Mus musculus: one gene and its partner. Each later gene encodes a partner of the first gene's protein in a complex. Links are inferred from orthologs where the notes say so. Each region holds a gene or a part of one and is shown on either strand. Other genes may lie near its edges. The genes, in order: Pdpn and Clec1b.

Region 1 (4,420 bases):
GAGTGTGTAATTTTTTTTTTTATTCATGTTTAAAATGAATAAAGTGAAGTCTACCTTCAGTCTCAAGTCAGTCTTTTTTTTTTTTTTTAATTCAATCATAGTAAAAAGCTTAACTTTGTTTCTGAATCAAGGTCCCAGCAACTTCTGGGATAATAGTGTATAATTTACAGGAGAGGTTGGGGATTAAAGGAGGTAAGCCTGCGACATTCCTAGAATGTGGTGGTGGTGGTGGGGGGGGAGGGGGGGGGAATGCAAGGAGGTGGTGTCCCGCCCACTAGTCAGGGCCATTCTCTGTCATACCGGAGACTTGGGTCTCTCCATTGCCAGCAAAGTCAATGGTGGGTGAGCTGAGTTTTGTCTTGTTGATCGTGGCTACCCTCAGCCTTCTGCTGCTGCACTCGCATCTTTAAATGTGTTTCCCTCTTCTGAACTCAGTTTGGGACCCTAAGCCCCAGCTTCCCCCGCAGAACCTCTAACAGAATCAGCTTTATTCAAGGCCTCCTCAGCTACATAAGCCCTCAGCAGCTTGCGAGGATTCCAGGGCCCCCGAAAACTGGCAAGAACTTCAGGGAAATCACAGGATGATTTCTGTGCCACATGATTAATCCTGCTCGGACTGGTCCCGGAAGAGCACACATGGGTTAGCGGCAAGCAGCAGCTTGCCGAGAATCTTATAAAAAGCCACTGCTAACGGGCGAGTCCTGGGGTACCGGCTTTGGATGTCAGTTCAGAGTGAGGGTGGGGCCTGGCAGTGGGGGAGGCTGCCAGATGTGAGGACAACAGGCCTCGTTAGAATCCACGAACACCTTGGGGATTGCAGAGGGGGTTGGGTTATAACCCTAAATCAGTATGGCATATGACTCTAATAGAATTAGCACACCACAATCACCCCTGCCTGATCTGGCTCCCCAGTAATAGCTTAACTCAATGGAGTTAACTCATCCATATTCATTATTCTCAAACAAAAACCCTGCAGGCTCAATCTTGCTGCAGAGCAGCCTGGATACAACTGGCCGCATGGCCACCTCTCTGAACACCCCTGTACCAAGGCTTTTTCTTCAGCTGTACAGTTTCTACTCTAACTGAGTGATGACTTTTTCTAGACAAGACCAAATACCAGCTACATTTTAGGAGCATTTTGGGAGCTGGCTTGAGACAGTTGCAGCCTACCCTTGCCTTTGGAGGATGCCAGCCTCCGACTTTCCTAGGATGTGGTTTGGGGTGGGTGCTTCCCCTCACTTTGCGCTGGTGAGTGAAAAGCCATGTTCTTAACACGCACTGTCTCGCCATGACGGAAATGGAACCGAAATACAGAACTGTATATATATATATATATATATATATATATATATATATATCCTAGCGTAAGAAGTTTCAAAGATAGGACTGCCAGGAATACCCCTGAACACCATAAAGAATAGCTTCGTCTCTTTGAAGCAAGTGGACAACCTCGCCCATGCACTCTATATAATTTCCCTAACACTAGGTGTTGTCTGTGGAGAATTATAGAAGCCTAGGCTAGGCCCACCCATCTCACACAAACCACTCCTTCACCAGGAAAGACAGTCCTACATCTCTGATGACCACTAGCCTTCATTTAGTGAGCAACTGAGACTGTCCCATGACTTCTTGGCTCTGGGATCAAGATTAGAGCTTAGATTCCACCAGGAATATAGATACAACTTAAAACATCAAAGCAAGAAACAAAATAACAGGAGACTGTCCTAGACCCCAGCCATAGATCACCCAGACAGAAGACAGTAATTCAGAAGAGGAGGACGTGATGGTGGTCCCATCAATCTGTTTCTTTCTAGTCAGGGTCTTAAAGCCCAGTCTGGTTTCAAACTCCTTATACCCCAAGATAACCCTGAACCCTCTCATCCTCCTGCCTCCATTTCCCAGTGCTGACACAGTTGAGCATCACCATCCTGGCTTTTGCATCTTGCTGGGGATGGAGCATGAGAGTGTCTCACATGCCAAACATGGACTCTGCCAACTGAGCTACATTCTCAGGCTCCATTCGTCTTTAATTAACACTAATTCAGCCACTGAGTCCTTGGCCAAGTTCAATACATGGCCTCAAACACACTTGCGCTTCAACGCTCACGGCAGCCCTCCAGGTTAGGAGGTACAGGTCCGTGGCGCCCTGGGTTCCATCCATTTCCAGTGTAGGGGTGTGGGGAGGGGAGGAAAGAAAGAGGCAGAGACAAGAATGCTAGAAAGATAGCAGCTTGCGGGTCAAGCTGTTCCACCGTCCCTTCCAGCTACCATCCTAATTAGCGAAGCCTCTTCAGGTCTATCCCCAGCCAGGGGTGTGACCCAGAGTTCCAACCTACGTCCTCCTATCTGTTCCTCTTTTTCAGAGACATTAATCATTCCTCTAACACACTGCTTTTTTGGGCCAGTCCAGTCGCCCTTGGTCACCTTCCCATCCCGTAACACTAGCCCCCGGGGCGGTGGGGGTTGTTAGGGCCATTCTGTACCCCTACCACCTGTGGGTGGACCCCCTACCGCCACACCCACTTGGCTGTTACAGGAGACTTAGCCCCATCTAAGCTACCCCACCGCTCTCCCTCCCTCCCCCCGCACTCGCAGATCCCAGGCCCAAGCATCCCCCGCCTCCCTCCATCCCCACCAACAAGTGCTGGTTGCCAATCATGCATGGCGCTTACCTCCCTGCGCAGAGTCCCAGAACCAAACGCTCCCCAAAACCCAGAACAACACTGGCACGGTCCACATCTTGATCTCGTTGGAGCCTCAGCAGCTAGTGGGTTTTTTTGTGGGTTGTGAAAAGATGAAAAACAAAACAAAACAAAACAAAAAACTTCGAAGCCACAGGCCCAGCCGGGAAGAGCTCGGGAGGAGGTTGGAAGGCGCTGAGCAAAAGTCTCAGCGCCAGAGAGTGCCCGGGCTTTCTGGACTCGCAGAGGCAGCAAGCACAGCAAACTTGGCAGCTGGCAACCTCTCGGCACAGTCGGCATTTATGTCTCCGGTCCCGGGGCGGGAGCGGGTGGGCGTCAGGTGGTCCCGGAGATCTAGGACCGCCCCCGAACTCTGTTTGGCCAGCATCACAAGATGACCTCAGGCCAGGTTTAAAGTTACAGGGCCTCAGCCACTGGGGCCCAGCCCAGAGGGGAAAAAAAAAAAAAGCTTTTGACTTTGTTCCACTACAGGAGAAAAGGGGGCCACGTGCAGTAAACAGTTCTGATTTACAATTTTTATTTATTTTTCTACTATATTTACTATTATGTTTTGGAGGGCAAAGCCCACAACTTAGGTTTCCTTGATAGTGGGCAGAAGAGAGACGCACACAGTGGCGTATGCGGCTGGTTTTATGGTTTTTAGACCGATGCACTGGATTTTTTTCTTCAGATGGTTTGGGGAAAACGGCCGTTGTTTGGGTGAGTCTGAGGCGGCTCTTGTTTATTGAACCTTCATGCAAGGCACGTGGATGGATGGATGGATGGATGGATGGATGGATGGATGGATGGATGGATGGATGGATGGACGGACGGACGGAAGGACGCGTCTGTCCTCCCACAACTAGCCTTCAGTGCAGTACTTGGCCCGGTGAGGTACTTGTCTGGGTGGGGTGCTTGACCTTGAAGGGTGCTTGGCCCTAGTGAGTTATACAGAAGGCAGAGCACGTACCACCACCCCCTGATACCGGGACTTTGTGGCTTCACCTGGATACCAGGAGCAGCTGTGTCATCTGACTATCGGCCACTCACCTGGAACTAATAAGAGTTCAGCTCATCTATTAATCCTAGGGTTTAACTGGTAATCCCCTGTCTCTTGATTTAAACAATCCTTCCTTGCTCTCAGGGAGTGGGTATCGGCAAGAGAAATGTTCATTATTCCCTTCTAACCTGTTGGAATCTAAGAACAGGGTCGGGGGTGGTCTTGGCTTCACTCCCAGATGCCATAAATTCCTTTCAACAAAAGCATCTGAGGATGGGCCCCCCAGAGGTGGCTCGGCCACCAAGCCGAGTGACTTAAGTTTTAGGCTCTGAACCCACAATGGTGAAAGGAGAGTCCCGATTGATTCCTGTATGTTGCCCTCTGACCAGACAGCGAGCACACACACACACACACACACACACACACACACACATACACACACACACTCGCGCATGCACACGGTAAAAATAAGTTACAGAGAACTTAACAATGAACGGTCCCTACGTGTCCCAATGAAGGTGACAATGAGCTGTTTTCATCCTTTTATCTTTGACCTCAGTTTCAAACAGACTTCATCTCAAGAATTTCAAAAGTAGACTGATTTTTAAAAATTATTTATTGTGTGTGCGCATGCACTCACGCATGCATGCATGTGTGCAAAGGTGTGGGCACCCATGATATGGTATGTGTGTGATATCAGAGGGTAGCTTTGTGGAGCCAGCTCGCTCCTACATTCATT
Region 2 (4,269 bases), on another chromosome or scaffold:
GAGCCACGAGTCCAACAACCAGCCCCATGGATGAGATCAGCAGAACTAAAGCCATCACACGCCACCAAGAAGAGGCAGGTTCCGCTGTGGGAGCACAGAAAAGATGCAAACAGAAGACTTTCAGGCTACCCTGGGCTTCTCAGGATTGCCTAAGTCTATCATAAACAGCATTGTAAGCTATGTGTGAGAAAGCTTGGGACATGGAGGCAGAAAAATCAAGAGTTCAAGGGCAGCCTTGGCAACGTAGCAAAATCAGTACCAGTCTAGGCTCTATGAGTTACTGTATCAAAACTCAGTAAGACTTTGGCTATTAAGATGGCTTAGCAGGTAAAGCACTAACTACATAAGCCTGATAAACTGGATTTGAGTCCTGGAATACAGGGTGGAAGGAAAGAACCTACTCTGATCTTACCTGCATTCCATTAGTGACCATCCTCAATAAGAATGGCTTAATTTATACCACCCATCCATTGCCACTCTCTATGACTTATTCTCTGTCCATTCTAACATATAACTGGCTACCAAGGCCACGTGTATCTGTTTTTTTGTTTTGTTGTTGGTTTTGGTTTTTTGGTTTTGGGTTTTTTGATTTGTTTTGTTTTGTTTTTGTTTTTGCATCCCTGTGCCAATTAGTAGCTTTGGCATCTATGGGTGAGTAAACTGAGGCAGGAAGCTGCTGACAGGGATCAGTCCAGATAGTGATAGAGACTTCTATATAAGGCATCCAGTGATTAGAGAAATTCCTCAGCAGACTTCTCTCTGAGGGAACAGAGAGAAGGGGTTGGCTCTCCCCATGGCCAGCAAAAAACTCTAAACTCTTTTAATCCCTGGGGCCAGAGAGAAAGAAAGGAAAAGAAAGAAAAAGCATACATACATGTACACATACATGTACACTGAGAGGATGAAATAAAAAACAGACTTCAGTAACTTCATACATGCAAAGACAGACAGACAGACAGACAGACATTCTAGTTTTCTTCTGGAGAATGACTATGAAAAAACATATGTTCTCCTGTACCTTTACAAGAAATAACATTATGTAGCTAATTATAGGCAAAGAAAACAAATTGTTCCCAAGAACCCATGTACATTTGTAACCAAGCAACTTGTTATAGATTAACAAAGTGTGAGCAAGCAAGGTAGTTTCTCTCACTAGCAGGCAGCAGTTTGCAGTTACAAAAATAAGATTAATTATTTTATTTTATTGTTTATCTTTACAAGTAATCTTATAAGAATCTTAAAAGAATCACAAATTAAACTTTTATATAAAAAATCAGTCATATCTACTTTAAACCCTCAGAATACATACCTACTTAATAAAATCATCTTAGGAAGCTGAGGGCAAAAATGGGTGTAAGAAATCAATTATTACTAGTAAGACTCAGTGCTACCATTGTTCTTGTTCCCTGACCTTAAAAAGCCCTTAGCTTAGCTAATGAAAGTGTGCTTTTCTGAACATCAAATTGTTCCCTTAGGTTTCTTACATCAGAAGCAGTAGCAGAAACATCTTAACCTAGATTCACTAACAATTTTATTTTTCCAAATGTTTTCTAAGGATGGTGGTCATTGCTGATAATCTACATCTCTTAAGTTCTTTTCTAGGGTGGTGTTTGAATCATTAATCTGCTGGAGCAGAAATACCTGAAAGAGATCAAGCATATTTTATAAGAGCCAGAGATACTGTCCAGTGAGGGGCTGGACTCCTTAGAGTTTTTATAGGGATGTGAAGGGCAACAAGCAGAGCAGAACTCCATAACAGCATGAAGTCCTCAGGACATGGAGTCCTCTCTGGGTCATACCCATTGAGGCTGTGCTAACTGCTGGACCACATTCCAAGACTTCTAAAGCCATTTGTCATTCCTCTTACATGGCCCTCAGCACCCCTGTTCTCCTCCACAATTACTTTCATAGGCAACTGGTGGAGAACTGGGTCTTCTGGTGTTCAGAAATTTGATGTTGTTTTTAAAAGGACAAAAAAATTATTTTTATGTTACATAAATGTTAACTTATGAAATGTTTACATATTGAACAACACTATGAACCAAAGACTTTATATCATTTTAAACAGAAAAGAAAGGAAAGACTTCAGATTATAAAACGCTTCCCTCCAGAACATTAAAAGAAAAAACTCTCATGTTTTCTAATTAAGTCATGCAACAAATGTATTCCTTTAAAATGTGAAGACATTTGAGTTTTCAAACTGTCCTTCGCTTTGTTCTACCAGCTTCTAAGCACCCCAGTATTGCATTCTAATAGCCTTAGTACAATGTTCCCTCTTCTGTATTTTCTGCCTGTATTCTAACTATGTCTGCAGCAGCTTCTGTAGGCCCCACTTGCATGCTTCAGAAAAAGAATATCATTCAGGAAAACACAAATAAGTTTAAGCACCCTGTCACTGGGAGAGAGACAGAGAATAGGAGTGACCTATTTCACTAATGCCCAAATTGCTGAATGAGCCTTCTTACCTGAGCTGAGAGCTTGTTTCCGGGGCTTGATGTTTAAAGTGATATACCCATCTTCATCCTGCATGGCTCCCCTTGAACAGCAAAGAGCTCAGAGCTCAGTGACTCTGCAGAACTCACCCAATGTCCACCCTTAGAGTCTCAGTGCCTGCCAGTGTGGGCTCCTTCTCTCCCGGTGGTGTGGGGCCATATGCACCAGGACACTTGGGGTTTGTTTTGCTTTGTCTTGTTTTCCAGGAAGCCCTTTCTTGGATGTTCAGAGATACGTGGGCTTGAACCTAAAAACAAAAATAATAATAACTTGTGGTGAAAGAGTAGATGCGGGGCTCGTTTCCTGCTCTCTTATCTTCAGCTCTGAGTGAAGGGATGTTCCGTCCTGAGGGAGTATCCTGTCAAATGACAAAGTTCACGCTTCATCTTAACCCTAGGAAAGCTCAAAATACATCACGTAATTGAACTGATGCCTTATAAAAAAAACTCATGGATAAAGGTACCAGTAGGAATACAGCATCTACTGTGACTTCAAATCTAATATCATTTGAAAAGAACGATATAATAATGTCTAATCTTATCATTTATATTATCCGGTGTGAAATTACACATCTACAACCCTACAATAGAACGCACTTCTCCTTTTTATGACCTAAAGTTCACTTAAATTCTTGCATCCAATATAAGTCATTTTATTTAAAAAAAAAAAAAAAAGAAGAAGAAGAAGAAGAAAAAAAAATTGAGCTGCAAGTGAAGCAGACCTCAGATTGCTTAGTCCTAGACACTGAAGGAAAAAAGAGTCAAGTAAATACAAAACTCATCACAATATATGTTTCTTAGATAATATTTAAAATGAGTTCTTGGATTAAATAAAACTAGATTGCAACGGCACCTTTTAAGTTTGAGTGCAGTTTTGCGCAGTGACAGAACTGTTTGCAGGAGGGGGGATGCTGGTTTCCTTTTAATCACAGTGTCATAAATACTCCATCATTTAGCTCTATAGAAATGGGCTTTAAATAATTACACTGGCTTACCGTGACAGCAGCTACAGGAGCACCATATGGAGCTTGCCAGGGTGGTTATTGCAGGAATATTGACTGCTGCCTGTCTTGTCATTAGCCTAGAATTTATTTAATTTTGTAGTATGTAATTCTGCTAAATCTCTATGGCTAGAGCCCTTCTGCCTTGTTAAGAGAATCCAGTCTCCATATTTCACCATGAAGACCATCCAGGACCTATTGCCAGGAGTTTACTTGCCCTTGTTCTTTTGGTTTTTTGAGACAGGGTTTCTCTGTGTAACCCTGGCTGTCCTGGAACTCACTCTGTAGACCAGGCTGGCCTCGAACTCAGAAATCCGATTGCCTCTGCCTCCCAAGTGCTGAGATTAAACACATTCGCCACCACTGCCCGGCTCTTTTTGGTATCTTCTACATGGCTTTCTTTCTTTTCCTCCGTGCTCTTTACTTCACTCTCAGAATTTTGTCAACTCACTACAAGGATTCTGCATTTTGAAATGCCTTTCACTCACACCTCCAATGATTTCAGGAAGCCAACAGACTATTCACCAATTGCTGCTACTATTTGCATAGCTTCCACTTCAGCCAAAGATTCTCCATCTTCCTGGCAGAGGGGGGATATGCTAACTAACAGCCTTCCAGCAAAGTCTGGGATGACCTCTTCCTTCCTTGCTTCCTTTACTCACAAGCTGAGTTCAAACATGCTTTCTTCCCCTACTGTCTTATTTCAATGTCTTTCCTTAATTATGTACAGAATAATACAATGAAATTGAATGAGTAATTTCAGCTTAATGAAGAGA

Evidence for each region.
Region 2: the proteins of Pdpn (region 1) and Clec1b are in contact, whole or in part, in a crystal structure (PDB 3WSR), measured with the Homo sapiens proteins. The link is inferred for Mus musculus from reciprocal best matches to the Homo sapiens genes PDPN and CLEC1B. Residues at the interface, in NP_006465.4 of Homo sapiens: Ala46, Glu47, Asp48, Asp49, Val50; in NP_001380271.1 of Homo sapiens: Arg107, Phe116, Arg118, Arg152, Thr153, His154, Leu155, Arg157.

Annotation. Positions count from the first base shown.
Region 1 is NC_000070.6:143,296,517-143,300,936, forward strand, and holds the start of Pdpn (podoplanin isoform 1 precursor), read right to left. Parts: upstream 3,049-4,420; 5' UTR 2,740-3,048; coding exon 2,673-2,739; intron 1-2,672. UniProt on the Homo sapiens protein: Mediates effects on cell migration and adhesion through its different partners.
Region 2 is NC_000072.6:129,395,875-129,400,143, reverse strand, and holds the start of Clec1b (C-type lectin domain family 1 member B), read right to left. Parts: upstream 2,848-4,269; 5' UTR 2,530-2,847; coding exon 2,466-2,529; intron 85-2,465; coding exon 1-84. UniProt on the Homo sapiens protein: C-type lectin-like receptor that functions as a platelet receptor for the lymphatic endothelial marker, PDPN.